Linked DNA regions of Drosophila melanogaster. The gene in region 3 interacts genetically with the main gene of each other region. Each region holds a gene or a part of one and is shown on either strand. Other genes may lie near its edges.

Region 1 (6,599 bases), on a different chromosome or scaffold from region 3:
TGAGCGGAAAGGGCCTCTACAGCTACCTACCGTATCCTAGCATTCAACCGATCAGCCTATCAAATGTGTCCGAGTATTTCGATCGCGCAAGGATAATTCGAAACTTTCAAGGCTTTCCTGTCCGCATACTTCGAAGCACATTAGCTCCTCGGGACTTTGAGTACTCCAACGAACAGGGTGGCTTGGTGCGAGCAGGATATTTGTTCACAGCGGTCAAGGAGCTGACTTATCGCTATAACGCCACCATCGAGAGTGTACCCATACCCGATCTGCCGGAATATGATGTATACTTGGCCGTTGCTGAAATGCTACATACAAAAAAGATCGACATTGTTTGCTACTTCAAAGATTTCAGCTTGGAAGTGGCCTACACAGCACCACTTTCGATTATCCGCGAGTACTTCATGGCTCCCCACGCCCGTCCGATTTCCAGTTATCTGTACTACTCCAAGCCCTTCGGCTGGACCCTTTGGGCGGTCGTGATTTCGACTGTCTTGTACGGAACCGTAATGCTGCATCTGGCTGCGCGAGGAGCACGAGTCGAGATTGGAAAGTGCTTGCTGTACAGCCTCAGCCACATCCTATACAACTGCCACCAGAAAATCAGAGTTGCTGGCTGGAGGGACGTGGCCATCCATGGCATTCTAACGATCGGAGGCTTTATACTGACCAACGTCTACTTGGCCACGCTCTCCAGCATCCTCACATCCGGGCTGTACGACGAGGAGTACAACACTCTGGAGGATCTGGCCAGGGCTCCCTACCCCAGTCTGCACGACGAGTACTACAGAAGTCAGATGAAGGCGAAAACCTTCCTGCCCGAACGGCTCCGCAGGAACAGCTTGAGCTTGAACGCCACCCTGCTAAAGGCGTACCGGGATGGGCTCAATCAGAGCTACATATACATATTGTACGAGGACCGCCTGGAGCTGATCCTGATGCAGCAGTACCTGCTGAAGACGCCGCGCTTCAACATGATTCGCCAGGCCGTGGGTTTTACCCTCGAATCCTACTGCGTGTCCAACAGTCTGCCGTACTTGGCGATGACCAGTGAGTTCATGAGGCGCCTGCAGGAGCACGGGATCAGCATCAAAATGAAGGCGGACACTTTCCGGGAGCTCATCCATCAGGGAATCTATACCTTGATGCGCGATGATGAGCCGCCGGCTAAGGCATTCGACCTGGACTACTACTTTTTCGCATTTGTTTTGTGAACTGTGGGACTGATTTCGTCTCTTCTCGTTTTTTTCGCGGAACTCGTAAGTGGGCACCTTTAAGGAAGTTGGTTAGCGGGTGGCCCTTATCGGATCGTTTATTTCCTTATAAGGTGCACTTAACAAAAAACGCTTATTATGATAACTTATACAATTATTCAATCTGTCATGATGAGACCACTAATGGCATACCTTAATTAATTCAACTAAATCTCTACCCATTTCAAATCGGCCAGCGGTTTAAATATTTTGGGTATAAAGCAACGCTTACTTAATGTGTACTAATAGCGACTTCGACTCAGACCAAGTCTTCGACTCTTTTTGGGTTGCATGCAAATAGGGGACATGTCCTCCGCATCCTGTCTATTCTTTGTACAGTCCTTGGAGCGATTTAAGTCCCTGTCGGCCAGCGGAGTACTTGTCGAGGAAGGCTTGGGAGCGAATCGCTCCATAGTGGGTAAGGCGCAGGAAGTGGAAGTTTCAGTTGACAAAATGATCTTTCGCTTTCTTTTTAGTGACAGGAGGTTCCGGCGAGCTATTACGGACTTCTTGGTGGCCTGGTCCAGTGGTGATTTGCCGGCAAGTTGCGATAGTGAGGAGTGGATCTCCTGCGACCTTCTGGGTGTCCTCACCAATGGCTGGCTACACAGCGGATGCTCTTCCTTTGCAGAATGCTCCACGAAGAAGTCGTGTTTGAAATGCTCAATATCTGAGGTATTTTTTAGACTTTGTACATTGCAAAAAGTTGGCTTGTTGGCACTGTCTTCTGCCGCCGCTTCATCTACGAACTTGGCATCAATATTTCTCGATTCCTCAGAGATCACAGTTGGTTGGTTCGAGTCAGTGCTTGCATCGGCGGCTTGAAATTCACTCATGAACTGTGCAACTTTGATTTTCGTATTTTCCGAAATCACAATTCCTTTATTTGAAGCGGTACGAAAGCCGAAGAATTCGGTCTCAGATACGGTTTTAGTATTCACAGCCTTATTATTTTCAACATTTATTGAATGAATCTCATTGTTTGGAGAGGTGGGTAGAACATCAGGAAAATCGCTTGGCTGCCACCCGTTTAATTGGTCTGTAGCTTTAGACTGGGCCAGAAACATGGCTCCTCTCTTCTCCATCGCCTCGGTAATCTCAATGGCTTTGTTTGACGCTGTTCTAAAGCCGAAAAACTGTGATTCATTTAAGTCACGGCAAACTGGGTCAAGTGTGGGTTGATGCGGTTCCCGCATTGTAGTATCAACGACCACCAACTTGGAAGCTTTCGATCGCATTTCCTCTGAACTCTCTATTGATCTTTTTAAGGCTGTATCAAGTCCAACAGACGTCGGTTTGTCATTTGGCTGATGGACTAAATAATCATTTTGTTGAATTGTTTCTTTGGATTGAAACTCAGCCATAAACTCTGCAGTTTTGATTTTCATCTTCTCAGAAATCGGAATTGCCTTATTTGAGGCTGTGCGAAAGCCACAAAACTCGGGCTCTGCTATAGTATCGTTATTGAGAGGACTGAATTTTCCATTTATTTCTCCAACGTCAACTTTAGCTATTGCATTGTAGGTTTCCTTACCATCCAATATTTCGATGGGCTTGCTTGGGGCTGATTTGAATTCCGCACACTGTGTTGATTCCATTACTTGACTATGATTATCGGAGTATTCCTCAGTACGTAAGTTGCACTTGTGACTAAAGTGATATAGGCCGGATACAACTTTGTCTACAAACTCTTCGCCTTTAATTTTCATTTCTTCCGAAACCTCGATAAATTTGAAGGACTTCTTTCGAATGCCATTAAGTTGATGACTGCTTATGGTCTGACTTTTATTAGGAGTCTGCTTTTCTGGTTGCTCCTTGTCGTCCAGATTTATTGAATTGATGTTTTCTTTAGGCCCTTGAATTGCGTTTTTGGAGGTTGATGGGCCATTAGAGCACTGCATTGGTTGCCAATCATTAAAAAGAAACTCCTCAAGAAGCTCGCCGTCGTTCAATAGGTTTTCTTGCTCTGCAGCATTAGGCTGATCCAGAATAGTAGTTCCTTCGTTTTTCGTGTTAATATCACAAGATTGTTTTGAGGCTCCTCTAACCTTTGATGCATTTGAATCTTTGCTACTTTTTTGTTCTTTCTGGGAACTTGGCTCCAACTTTAACTTTTTATCGGGTATATGTTTGATTACATCTTTGGAGATCTCGGGCAGTTCCATCGGAGTTAGCCATTCACTTAGTGGTATGCCTTCTAATATGAAGTTTGTGTTCTCCTCTATGTCAACATTTTTTGCTTGCGTTTGGCCCATCAAAAGTTTCTTATTTTCAGCAATTTCGACATCAGCTTTTTTCAATGTAGAGTCTGCATCAGACCAAACATTACGTTTTCCACTTTCTATAAATAAGGGTTTATATTAATGAACTTCGCAACAACATAAATTGCATATGAATTACCCAATCGGAGGCGCGTAGTGGGAACCGATTGCATGCTATCGCCATAAATAGTGTCTGCCATAGTTCCTGGACCTACGTACATATAAAAGGAGTTACAAATGTGTTTCTTGCCATATCGATCCCACTCCCTACCTTCCTGCTCATGCTCATTTTCATAGAAAGAGGCCTCAAATGTAAATCCGCTCTGCAACAGGTCATCCCTCAAGTTCTCCAATTCAGCGTTGAAACACTCGTCACCAGAATCCTGCCTTGCTTCGGTTGGCAGATCTATTTGCGATGGGACAGGAGTCGGACCGGAAGCTGTCGCGGTCGCGGAAAAGTATTGACTGAGGTTCAAAAGGACCTCGTGTATCTTCTGTGATGAAGCATCGAAATCACAAGCCATAGATGTGAACGAAGTATTGAGATCCCTCTGCACGGAGAGGCCTGAGGAACCTCTACGCTTCTCGTTTTGAACGGCCTTGTGGCTTTTGGGATCCCTCTTCCGGCTGTAGGTTCTGATCCTTTTGTTGCGAAATCGAAACCACGGCTCCGACTCATGGCTGGGCTCATCCTCATCCTCTGCGTATGTTGGAGACGAGCAAAAGTCGCTCATGATCATCTCGACCTGGTCCTCGGGCGTGGGCTCTGCGTAGGACAAAATAAGATCCTCCACGGCGACGAAGTCGCTGTTGTCCACCGCAAGCCGCTCGTGACCCCGAGTCCGTCGAGCGATGGCGAAAGTCTGGCGATCGGCTTCGCATATTTTGGCCATTTCGTCGATAATGTTACTCCGATTTGCCGCCGCGGAAACTGTGGCGCCACGTTCGCGCGCATGGGCTCCTCTTCCTTGGGATAGCCTGTTCGGATGACTTCCCGATGCGCCATTCTGGTCCATCACGTCATCTAATTGTTTAAATGTGTTTTATTTGAAGTAAGCAAGTGTCCAATGCTTTTGTGGTTGCATTTCCAAAACAAGGGGTGCAGTGTTGGTAAGCGTTGCTTTGATGGCCATTATCCGCTAACTGTGGAGGGTGGACTTGCTAAGCAATCGGGAGCGAGAAAGTCATCGATGGTATGGCCAAGAACATGAAGGCCTCACGTATCGATGGCAGATGCATCGATGTTTTTTAACATCACTAATCACTAGTAGCGACAGTTTTTGCATAAAATACAATTAAATAATAAAGGGCCATCGCCGAAGCTGCAAAAACCAGGTTTTACACTGCTGCAATTGCTGAAGAGTCTAGTTTAGGTGCCACTCGAAAACAATACCGGAAAGTGTTACGCGAAAGCCCAGCAGAGCCCCAAAGAATCAGCCCAAAAGTGAAAGCCCCCAGAAAAAGTAAAGTACAAAAGAGCGAAAGGAAGAGCCAGAGAGGTAAAGAAAGAGAGAGCGAAGAGCGTTGAAAAGAGTCTGTGCGAGAGAAAAACGATTTTTTCAACTCCGCGAATCCTTGGTCATATTCCGTGTGCAAATCCTGGTAAGTGGGCATTCCGCTGGATTACGACTAGATTGGCCATAACGCAGATTCCCGACATCCCAGGTAAATCGGGAAGTGAAGTGAAATACTAGGACCAGGACAAGAACGCCGTCAAGATTCTCGGGCCCATCTACAGCGGTATCCAGATCCAGAGCCACGGCCACCAGGACGCAGAATCCACCTACAGCACCTACAGCACTCCACTAGCCGCCACCACGCTCCACAAACAGCCAGCAGCCATTATGTTCGTCAACTCCATGACGTTCCGCGGCAATCCGGCGAACTACCACCAGCAGCAGCCGGCCCTGAACCACCACACGCTGGCAGCGGCGCACCACCAGCAGCAGCTGCACCACCACGCCGCTGCAGCTGGTCACCTGAGCCACGTCGGCGGTGGGCACGCAGCCAGTAACCACCTGGCGGCCGCCGCTGTTCTCGGACGGCATGGCCACAACTCCCTGGGCAGCGGGCACACGTCCACGTCCTCGCACTCGGCCAATGTGGGCGTGGGAGTCGGCGGGGGAGCTCTGGCTAGCGGCTCCACTGGGGGCAGCGGAGGCAACAGCTCTCCGGACAGTGGCAAGATCTATATCAAGAACCTGGAGCGGTCCATCGACAACAAGGCGGTGTACGACACGTTCTCGGTGTTCGGAAACATCCTAAACTGCAATGTGGCCAAAGACGAGGATGGCAATTCACGCGGCTATGGGTTTGTGCATTTCGATTCGGAGGAGGCCGCCCGAGCGGCCATCGAGAAGGTGAATGGGATGCTGTGCAATAATCAGAAGGTGCATGTGGTCAAGTTCATACCACGGCGGGACCGGGAGCAGGAGAAGGCCACGCACTTCAAGAATCTGTATGTGAAGAACCTCAGCGAGGAGTTCACCGAGCAGCATTTGCGCGAGATGTTCGAGCCCTACGGCCGCATCACCAGTCACAAGGTACGTTGTTTGGTCACCTCATCTTCCCTACGGGGATGTTCGTGGGGCCGGGTGGTTGGACGACAACCATGTGGCACAGTTTTGCACTCTCTTAAGTCCTCTCTTGCGCCATTGCTGCGCATGCCCATGTAGCCACGAGGAGTTTGTGACGGCGGGGAAGATGAGGACTCCACCTGGCCCATCTGTGCTAATTTGTTTATATCATCGATTTGCTTTCTCCGATCCTTGCAGCTCATGCTGGACGAGGAGGGGCGCTCCCGGCGTTTCGGTTTCGTCGCCTACGAGAACCCACAGTCGGCGCTGGCCGCCGTAATTGGCCTGCACGGCAAGCAGCTGGGCGACAACAAGTTCTTGTACGTGGCAAGAGCCCTCAGCAAGGCCGAGCGGCAGCAGGAGATCAATCGCAAGCTGGAGGAGCGCAAGCGGCAGAAGGCCGGCCAGATATTCTACTACTAAGGCTTCGGCGGCGGCAGCTGATCCAAGGACATCGCTAGGAGTTGACTTGGAACCCACACACATACAATACACACCCATATATAAAC
Region 2 (4,616 bases), on a different chromosome or scaffold from region 3:
TCCAAATCGCGGCAGTAACAATAACAACAACAATACGTTAAACAACAATGTTAATAACAGCGAGGGAAAAGTGCCCGCCAAACAGAGTACCACCAAGATTAAAAAGCAGTTAAATGCGCTGCTGGAAAAGACAGTTAAAACGGCTAATCAAGCACATCGAAGTGCAGAATTGGAGAGCAGCGATCAAAAGCCCGCAGTCGAAAAAAGGCCAAATAATAGTAATGAAAATCAATTGCTACACCAGCGTTTGCATCAGCATGCCATACCTTTAACTGTAGAACCAGCCGCTCCACTCGAACAAACCGAGAAATTGGACATAAAACGAGAGGAGTCTCCGCAGCACAGGGAACTGCAGTTAAGTCTCCAAAGGGCGGCAATTCAAAATGGCCAGCTAACGGAAATGGATTTTGAAAGCAAATTGGCCGCGAGTAAAATTTCCATTGCCTTGGCCATGGCCAACAAACAAATGCAGCCGGAAAAGAGGGTCAAAACCGAAAGTTCCTCATCGGAGGGCGAAGGCGATGGAGACGGCGAGGAAGAGGAGGAGGAGGAGGAGGTGTCCTCCAGCGAGCATGGCGATTCCATAGAAGCTCACGATTCCCAGGATCAGGATGTCGCCATGCGGGAGATTTAAACAGAAGAAACCACAGTCAAATTAACTTGTGCCAAAAAGTCGAATATTGCTCATCCACAAAGAGGATAAACTATCCCAATAAACAAAAGAAAAACAAAAATAAAACTAAACAGAAAGAAAACCCCCATAGTTGTATTACTTAATTGTAATTTAATTGTCGCGTAATCCGTTCACCTTTAGGCTTGTATTTTATTTATTTAATATACTTAAACGCTAAGGCTAGGCTTTTGTAAATGTCGCATTTAAATGTCCGCGTAAACTATGGCAAATTGTAATCTGAACTTTTGAGAATTTCATGTGATAATGTATACGAGGCGATTACAAAATTGATTTTACTACTTGAACTATGAACTATACTATGTATGTAGGCCTGTAAGCTCTGCTACCCTGTAAATTGCAATTGAATGAAACATATTTATTGAGTGTTTGTACAAAAAAGGAATTAAGGCAACAAATAAGATGATTATGCCCGGAAAATGGCTTAAACTCGGGTTAAATTTATCGGAACTTTACATTTATTTAAAAAAAAAATTGAAACAAGATTGCGTTATCGTGTTAATCAGGTCATCAGAAAACCTTTTGTTCCTGAAAAGAAATAAGAAAAGCATGTTTTCTAAATTTGTTTTTATATATTTTAATGATACCTAAACCTGATTGGCAACTAAGTAAATTTAAATTATTAAACCCTAAAATATTCCGCTGAATTTAACAGGAGTATAAGACAATCGTATGGCTAATTGAACGCTCCGCCGTTACACATTTTAAATTCAACAAATTAAACGATAACAAAATAAACAGAATAAATTCAATCAATCACAGTCGACGCATTTTGGCGGGTGGGCTGGGAACAGATGGCTCTGGAACATTGACCACACCTTCTGCGGTGATAAGAAACTCGGCGAAATCATTGGGAGTCTCTGGTGAGTAAAGTATTTCCAGTTTGCGCACCGTTATCAGTTGATCACCCATGCGATGCTGCTTGGGCACCCGGGAAACACGCAGTCTAGTGCGTCCTAGGTGCGCCCACTGCAATCCCAAGCAGGGAATCTCATCCTGACCGTCCCTGGTGGCCACCTGATTCACACAGACCACGGCACAGTTGTACTTATCCGCGTAGCTGAGCAGAGCGTCTGCCAGTCGACGCATATGTCTCGCTCGTTCCAGATAATCATTATACAGCCGGAATATGGCGGCCACAGAATCAATAATGATCAGGCCAATGCCATGTTGTTGCATCAGTCGCGGAATGCGGTTTATAACGCACGCCAGGAGAGGTTCCTTTGGATTAATATTAAATAAGCATATGGCTACAAATTGGTTTGTCGACTCACTGCCTCAATGTGATTTTCCACAAAGATGTTTCCCAGAAAATTCAGCTCCATTTCGGGATGCCTCTTCTCGCAGGCTTTGCTCATCTGCAGCAATCTTCTCGCCGGAAAGGAACTCTCCGTGCATATGTAGGCCACGCCTTTGCCCAAGCCACCCAACTCACGGGGTAGCTGGACACAAAGGGATAGCTGAAGAAGCAACTGGGTCTTGCCCACGCCGGCTGCTCCACATAGCTCTGTAATTCCACGAGTGACCACTCCCCCGCCCGTGCAGCGATCTAAAGCGGAACATCCAAACGACACCCGCGACCATCTAACATTGACAAGCGGCTTGAAGAGGGAATCCGCTGTAATAAATAGTGGCAAACTAAACACAAGAGGCTACTTATACATTAGTCTGAGAATCACCTGACTGGGGCATCTCTGCCAGCCACTTGGCTGCCGCATCCTTGAGCACCCTAACATCATCCGGAGTGCATTTTCGCACGATTGTGTGCAGCGATTGCTGGCGGGTGTCCAGGAATCGCACCTTGGGAGTTGTCAGCACCTCCTCCGGTGCGAGAACATTAACTGGAGTACAGGAATTTAGTTGGCTCTTGAATAAAGTTGTTGGAACCCCAAAACTCTTACCCTGCTCGGCGATTTCTCTGATATGCTTGGGCAATTGATCCAGAAAGTTTGTCATCGCGATGCGATGGCATGTCCTCGATGGGATTGCGTGATATAATGGCTCCCCGAAACACGAAAGGTGTCTCAACACCTCCGGAATTGGAAGTATTCCGGGGGATTATTGATCAAACAGCCGAGCCATGCGACGACTTGCGAGCGAATTGAAAGTGTAAATAAACGCCGGTTGAAATCAGCTGTTGGCGCCAATATCTTAAGTGGGCCAATCAGCTGGCAACTACAGTGGGCATCCAATAAGGTAAACTATCAGTTGTTGTTTATCAAAAAAGATTTAAAACAAAATTTAGGAAAATTATTGATAATCAATTTGCAAAAATATTTATATGTACTTCCTAGTCAAATTTGGAGCTCAAACCCTCTCAAATTCTCTCAATCCTCTCCTATCCAAACACTATGCTAATATAAATATATTTCCAGTGAACACCACTTAATCACAAACACGAAACACTTGAGAGTATTTACATAATGGTTTTGTTTCAATCATTTAATTTCGAACATTCTGTTTTTTGCACAAGCATCAGAGGAAAACACAAAAACGATAGTCAGTGATCGATAGATGGTGGCTCCACTATCGATGATGCTCCTCCTTTTGGGCGAACTTCGTGTGTAAATGTTGTGGTTTTTCAATGTTTTTAAGCTAAGGGAACTGCGGATGTTGCATCCTGAAGGATCCTAGTGCTTGGGAGTGGGCTTCGAAAGCTCAGCCAAGGCACGGGCCTCAGCCTCTGCGCTGCGCTTCTTCTCCTCGGCGAGCTTGGCATCACGGACGGCCTTCTGCTGTGCCTCGATCTCGCGCAACTTCTCCTCCTTCTTGGACAGGCGGCTCTGGTGGGCGGCGCCGTAGGCAATGCCCACCAGGAGCAGGGACCATCTGCCGAACTTGATCAGCGGGGAAACGCGAACGGGAGCCTGCGACATGGTTTCTTCTTCAAGTTATGTAATTGTCCGACCGTGAACTGCAAGAAAAGGATGTACTTTAGTTATCCGACTTCCTTAATAGCGTTCCCCGTCTCGCTCCACTTTACAGATTCCTGGTTTTCCTAGTTTTATGCAATATTTGATGTTAAATAAGCAAAATTACCAAATTGGTGGAGCGATTGCAACGGCAGCGCAGTATAACCTTAAAACAGCTGTCAAAACTGACAGGCGGCTATCGATAGTTGTATTGGTACGGTGGCGGCGTTGCCAGCAAGCTTAAAAAAGTATGCAGAAATTGTGGAAAATATCATAACAATTTAAAAGAAGCCTTTATGACGACTATTTGTTGTTTAGTGTCCCAACAAAATTTGACGTATTACATACTGCAGCCTAGACTTTCATGTATATTTTACTCTTGTTACTAATAATTTTCAAATACAATTTTAACGGTAAAAGAATTGGAAAGAATAAAAATCTATTATAGAAATATAACTAATATAACTATTCTATCTGAACTATGGATAATGATTTAAATCGAAAATGGGAATTGAAAAAGATAAGATTCAAATTTTGTATGTTATCAATGTTGCGCAACGTTTTTCAGCACTGTCGGTTGGCCAAAAGTTAAACGTTCACACTGTGGGCAGAGGAAAAAGTATTGTTTTCTGGAAAACATGGCTAATTGCAGATAAAACGCGACTTGCAAATTCGGCAAATCTGTTTTTAGAGCCACCAATAAGGCGACAATTAGACATAATACAGAGACACAACAAAATTGACGCGTGTTAAATGCAAACAAGAAAATTCCAACACAGACCTTGAGTGGCTAACACACACACACACACTTGCAGGCCCTCCACACCTGCGTCACACATACACACCACACACACAGTGATAAAGTGGAGCGAGAGAGATAGAAGATCGAACCGTTCCCAGCGTTTTTGTTGTTCTTCTTGAAGCAGGAAGTGAATTTTAGGGGATCCTTTTACTGAATTTTGCAGCTGGCATTATGGTGAATGTACCACCGCTGCTCTGCAGCACCCCCCCGC
Region 3 (4,695 bases):
TGTGGCATTTGCAGCGCGAGGTTGAGCTGTCAGCTCTCGCCCAGGATCTGATTAACCAGGACAAAACCAGCCCGGTTACCTGGTGTGTGTCCGGCAATTGCTTTTCGCTGCAAAAGGAGCACGAAACCGCGATCAAGTTCTTCAAGCGGGCTGTCCAAGTGGATCCAGACTTCGTCTACAGCTACACACTGTTGGGCCACGAACTCGTACTCACCGAAGAATTTGATAAGGCCATGGACTACTTCCGTGCAGCAGTGGTTAGAGATCCGCGGCATTACAATGCTTGGTACGGCATCGGCACCATCTACTCCAAGCAGGAGAAATACGAGCTGGCTGAGATTCACTACGTGAAGGCGCTGAAAATCAATCCACAGAACTCGGTTATTCTCGTGCACATCGGCGCCATGCAATTCTACATGAAGAAGAAGGATCTGTCGCTGCAGACGCTAAACACGGCCGCCACGCTGGACCCCAAGAACCCGCTGACGCGATTCCATCGCGGCTCCATCTACTTCTCGCTGGGCAAGTACCAGGAGGCGCTGCGCGAACTGGAGGAGCTCAAGGAAGTCGTGCCCAAGGAGTCGGTGGTGTTCTATCTGATCGGCAAAATCCACAAGACGCTCGGCAACATGGATCTGGCGCTGATGCACTTCAGCTGGGCCACCGACCTAGATCCCAAAGGTGCCAACAATCAAATCAAAGATGCCTTCGACTCAATGGCTCATCCCAGCTGCTGTCCGGCCAACACTACGGCCCTGGACGTTGATCTGGAGCCCACTTCGGAGCGTTCCGATGACTCGACGCAGGCGCAGCAGGACGGAAGCTACGACAGCGACTACTAGGGAGCTGCAACTCCAAATTCACGCGGTTGTATATACGTTAAATGAGAAACACAGTAAACAAAAAAGAAAACTTAGTAACAGATACAAAAAAAAACCCCGATCGATTGCTGCTGTATTGTCGTGGAGGAAAGGAAACCAATTATGAAGTATGATAAAGTCTAGATAACGTTTAGCATTAGTAATTTAAAATATACAAAAAAGTAAATGGTTTAAACAAAAATTGTGCACTCTGAAAGTCTAAGGCAAAATAACGAAAAAGAAACAACAACAACAAAAAACAACAACAATTAAATACCACTTAAAAATATACAAAAAAAAAGGGAGATATACATTTTAAATGTTAAGTTAAAGCAACAAGGATCTTATGGGAATTAAATATGTTGGACTTGGACATTAAAACTATTCAAAGTGAAAACATTATACTACTGCTATAAGTTCCCCATCATATCTAAGGTACTTCCAATTCATCCTCTTCATGTTTTATCGGAAAGCGCAGGATTTGCTCGTGGCTCAAGCCCTGAGTGATATCCAGCACGCAGCGCAGTCGCTCCAAGTCAACGTTCAACATGGTGGCCAGTGTGGGCAGATGCTCCTCCAGCAAAATGTACTGACGCGGCCGCTGCATGGTCAGAATGCTGCTGATGTCCTTGGTGCCGAAGATCTCGCCAATGGAATCGGACAGCGAGAAGTTCAAGGAGACATCGGAGTCGAGATCCGATGGCGATTTGTTTACGATTTCACCGCGCCGCTCCGGAGTTTGGATCTCATCGGGTGTGAGGCTTAGATCGCTAAGTTGCATAGCTGGAGCAGATAAGGATCGTCTTCGAGTGGCACAGCTGGAATCCTCAGCGGGCGGAAGTTGATGAACAAAATGGGCGGGATATTTGGCAGGCAGCTTGGATGGCGATGGTGTGCTTCCTAGCTGATCGGTGGAAATTCTTGACTGCAGTTTCTTAGCCGGTTGCTTTGGTTTTCGACCACGTTTTTTGGGAGTGCATTGAATGCTTCTCCTTTGTGAATTCCTTTGATGAACTTCTTTCTGAATATTATTCTTCTTCTTTACGGTCTTTTCAACTTCATCTAAACTTTTGAGGTGGATAATCTTATATGGAGGCTTCAGGTGAACGATTCTATTGGAAGTTTTCAAGGGGACAACTTTATCCCGGGATCCAAGATGGACTAGATTATCCGAGGATCTCACGGGCACCAACTTAGCTGCAGGCTTCAGGTGAACCACTTTCCCTTGCTGCAACAATAGTTCACTGTAATCATCTTCAGTGTTTCCAAATAACTGAGGAGAAAGACTTTTGGGCGGAATCTTCTGCAGATCCCGGTTTTCCTTGTCGATGAGGCGCTGTGATCGCCGCAATGGGGAGTGCTGGGAGCCACCCATAAAGGAGCAGTAGGTGGAGGCCGGACTCGGGACAACTGTTGTCCTGTCCATACTGTTTTATACTACATAAAGAACACCAATGTAGTTTAAAACTATTATTCAATGCAAAATTATAAAAAAATAACAGTTGGCGCGATAGCAGGACTTATCAATTGAATAACAGGACCTTATTATCGACAAAAGCTTAGAGCTGCCACGCAATTTAATAAAGTTATCGTTCGTAAAGTTATGTCGAATTTAGATTTAAATTGAAATTGATGAGGTAATATATTTTTAAAATAAAATCCTATCACTTATTGTTGCTTAAACTAAAATTTGTTTCAAGAAAGACTATTATGAGATAGATCTTCGACTAAAAATAACTCAATACTCATAATGTTTTCATTTTTTTTAAGTTTGTTTATAAATTTAACAGTGGGTAAACAGTGAGTCCACCTGGCAACGCTCAATGCAGTATTTTTGTGTTACCATCTCCTTACCTGTAAGTATAGTGAATATATTTTCAGTATTGACTGCCATGCCGCATTGTTTTCAATCTGGTCACATCCAATGGCAGCGATTTTACGTAAAACCCTAATTGTAAGTAAAAAATAATAAAAATGTTCACTTAAAATCCAATGCCACCATGAATTTAGCTTGCGGGAAGCCTGCATAGGAGTTTTGCCTCCGCCGCCAAGGCCGCAAAAGCAAAGCCCGTCAAAACCAGCACCATTTCAGCTGTCGGCGAGTCCATCGCCGCCAAGGGGTAAGCACTTTCTTTAATTTATTTACATAAAAACCAAGTAAATATTCTCCTGATTGTAGCTTCTTGCGTCCCCATAAGCCGTACTCCCCACCTGCAGATGCCGCCGAACGTATTCGAACCGTAGCCGCCTCGCTTCAACTGAAATCCGACCAGTTGGGGAATCTCTCCGAGAAATTCGAATTCCTGAACGCGTGCTTCCAGGAGCTGCAGCACGGAGTGCCCAACTCCCAGGTACATGAACTGCGCACCGTCAGCGATGTTATCGCTTTCTACCAAACAGCTGTGGACACCACCGTGCCGTTTGATGCACTGAAGCGCATCGAGCTGCCGGAGAATTTGCACATCCAGTACGAGTACGTGCGATTCCATCCCGAGACAGATACCAAATTCGACGGCAAAACGGCTTTCCCCAAGAGCTCCACCCTAGTCACCGGTCTCAAGTACCGTGGAAAGTACGAGGGACACGAAGCCAAGCGATCCTGGCCTTAGAAACAGCCAATTGTTAGTTGTTAATGTCTTACACTTATTAAATGCATTCTGGAAGCCCGAGATTTACGTCATATATATTAGGTATTACATTTATTAAATGTTAAATATGCTTAATGGCTAAAATTAATGAATACTACTAAGTATTGGTAGTCTATAAATACTCGGCTAAAATCTGTCTGAGATCCGAGTTGTAAACACTTTCCAGGGCCGCCAACACTCGATCGTCAGCAAGTAGCTCCATTAGCCTTCTGTCCTCCTTGACTGCCTCGAAAGTGGGATACATGAGCTCGCTGGTGACATCGGTTACTGCCGGCTTGTTCATGATGCTAAGAATCTTCTTCTGCAGCTCGATCTCTGGATCGGGAGCTTTTAGCTTGGCCAGAGCATTGGCCTCGCCCACCTCTCGCTTCAGTTGCTCCTCGCGTTCGCCTTCGAGGTACTTAAGAATCACCTCGTACTGCGACGCGGTCAATGGATGATTGTCTGCCAGCCTTTCCAGCAGCCCCTGCATTTCCTGGGGATGTCGTCGCTGTCCCTTGTGTATGGATGTTGACGGCGGTAAGACGACAGCGTCGCGCTGTTTTTTGAGCCTAAAATCGGTGGAGATCAGGGTGATGGCGTCCTCCAGCGGCATGTTGCGATGCTCAGCGGGTACGCCATACAAAATGTTTACTGTGATGCTGTTGTGTTCCTCGTGCTGCGGCGTGACCAATACCGCATACAAGCAGCCGCGCGAAGAGATGTTGGCCAGGACCTTGCCTAGCAAGACGTCCTCGTTGGGAAAGAGTACATCCACGCGCAGACTGGAATTCTTTAGCCGCTCCTCAATGTATTCTGCGTATTTGCTGCAGGTAATGAAAGCCATGAGTATCGTCTGGAGTTATAAGGTATTGGGGATCATAACTTACGTATTCTCGCGATTTTGGACTATGATCTCGCAATCATTGATGAGGGGTTGACCTGCTGCCGCTGCCGCCGCTGACATCACAAGTCCACCCTGAACTGTCACCTGGCCTCCTTGATTTGAATTTCTTTTGGCGATAGCATTGGCCGCCTTCGATTTAATGCTGGCGTTGCGTACGGTGAGCATGTTTTGCTTAAAAGTGGACTTGTGCAGGGCGGAGGCGGCTTTATTGGCCAGCTCCTCCGTTTCAAACTGCACGAATCCGTAGTTCTTCTGGACCATCGAACCGAGCACTTTGCCATATGGCTGGCAAATGCTCACC

The links. A genetic interaction does not mean that the proteins touch.
Region 1: of mei-P22 (region 3) and Brca2, changing one suppresses a phenotype caused by changing the other (phenotypic suppression), as found in Drosophila melanogaster (one study listed by BioGRID).
Region 2: of mei-P22 (region 3) and spn-B, changing one suppresses a phenotype caused by changing the other (phenotypic suppression), as found in Drosophila melanogaster (2 studies listed by BioGRID).

Annotation. Positions count from the first base shown.
Region 1 is NT_033778.4:24,524,232-24,530,830, reverse strand, and holds Brca2 (BRCA2, DNA repair associated), read right to left. Parts: upstream 4,660-6,599; 5' UTR 4,531-4,659; coding exon 3,786-4,530; intron 3,726-3,785; coding exon 3,654-3,725; intron 3,595-3,653; coding exon 1,496-3,594; 3' UTR 1,278-1,495; downstream 1-1,277. Other genes in the region: CG4612 (uncharacterized protein), read left to right, coding at 5,359-6,057, 6,289-6,513. UniProt on the Drosophila melanogaster protein: Involved in and required for double-strand break repair by meiotic and mitotic homologous recombination. During meiosis, has a dual role in the repair of meiotic double-stranded breaks and the efficient activation of the meiotic recombination checkpoint.
Region 2 is NT_033777.3:14,326,242-14,330,857, reverse strand, and holds spn-B (spindle B), read right to left. Parts: upstream 2,808-4,616; 5' UTR 2,648-2,807; coding exon 2,593-2,647; intron 2,533-2,592; coding exon 2,371-2,532; intron 2,310-2,370; coding exon 1,966-2,309; intron 1,913-1,965; coding exon 1,448-1,912; 3' UTR 1,250-1,447; downstream 1-1,249. Other genes in the region: NK7.1, read left to right, coding at 1-634; ATPsynE (ATP synthase, subunit E), read right to left, coding at 3,322-3,567; Afti (aftiphilin), read left to right, coding at 4,577-4,616.
Region 3 is NT_037436.4:7,241,979-7,246,673, reverse strand, and holds mei-P22 (meiotic P22), read right to left. Parts: upstream 2,287-4,695; coding exon 1,291-2,286; downstream 1-1,290. Other genes in the region: Cdc27 (cell division cycle 27), read left to right, coding at 1-842; mRpL50 (mitochondrial ribosomal protein L50), read left to right, coding at 2,785-2,814, 2,871-2,980, 3,040-3,469; Neos (neosin), read right to left, coding at 3,621-4,314, 4,378-4,695. UniProt on the Drosophila melanogaster protein: Required for formation of the mei-W68-mediated double-strand breaks (DSBs) that initiate meiotic recombination.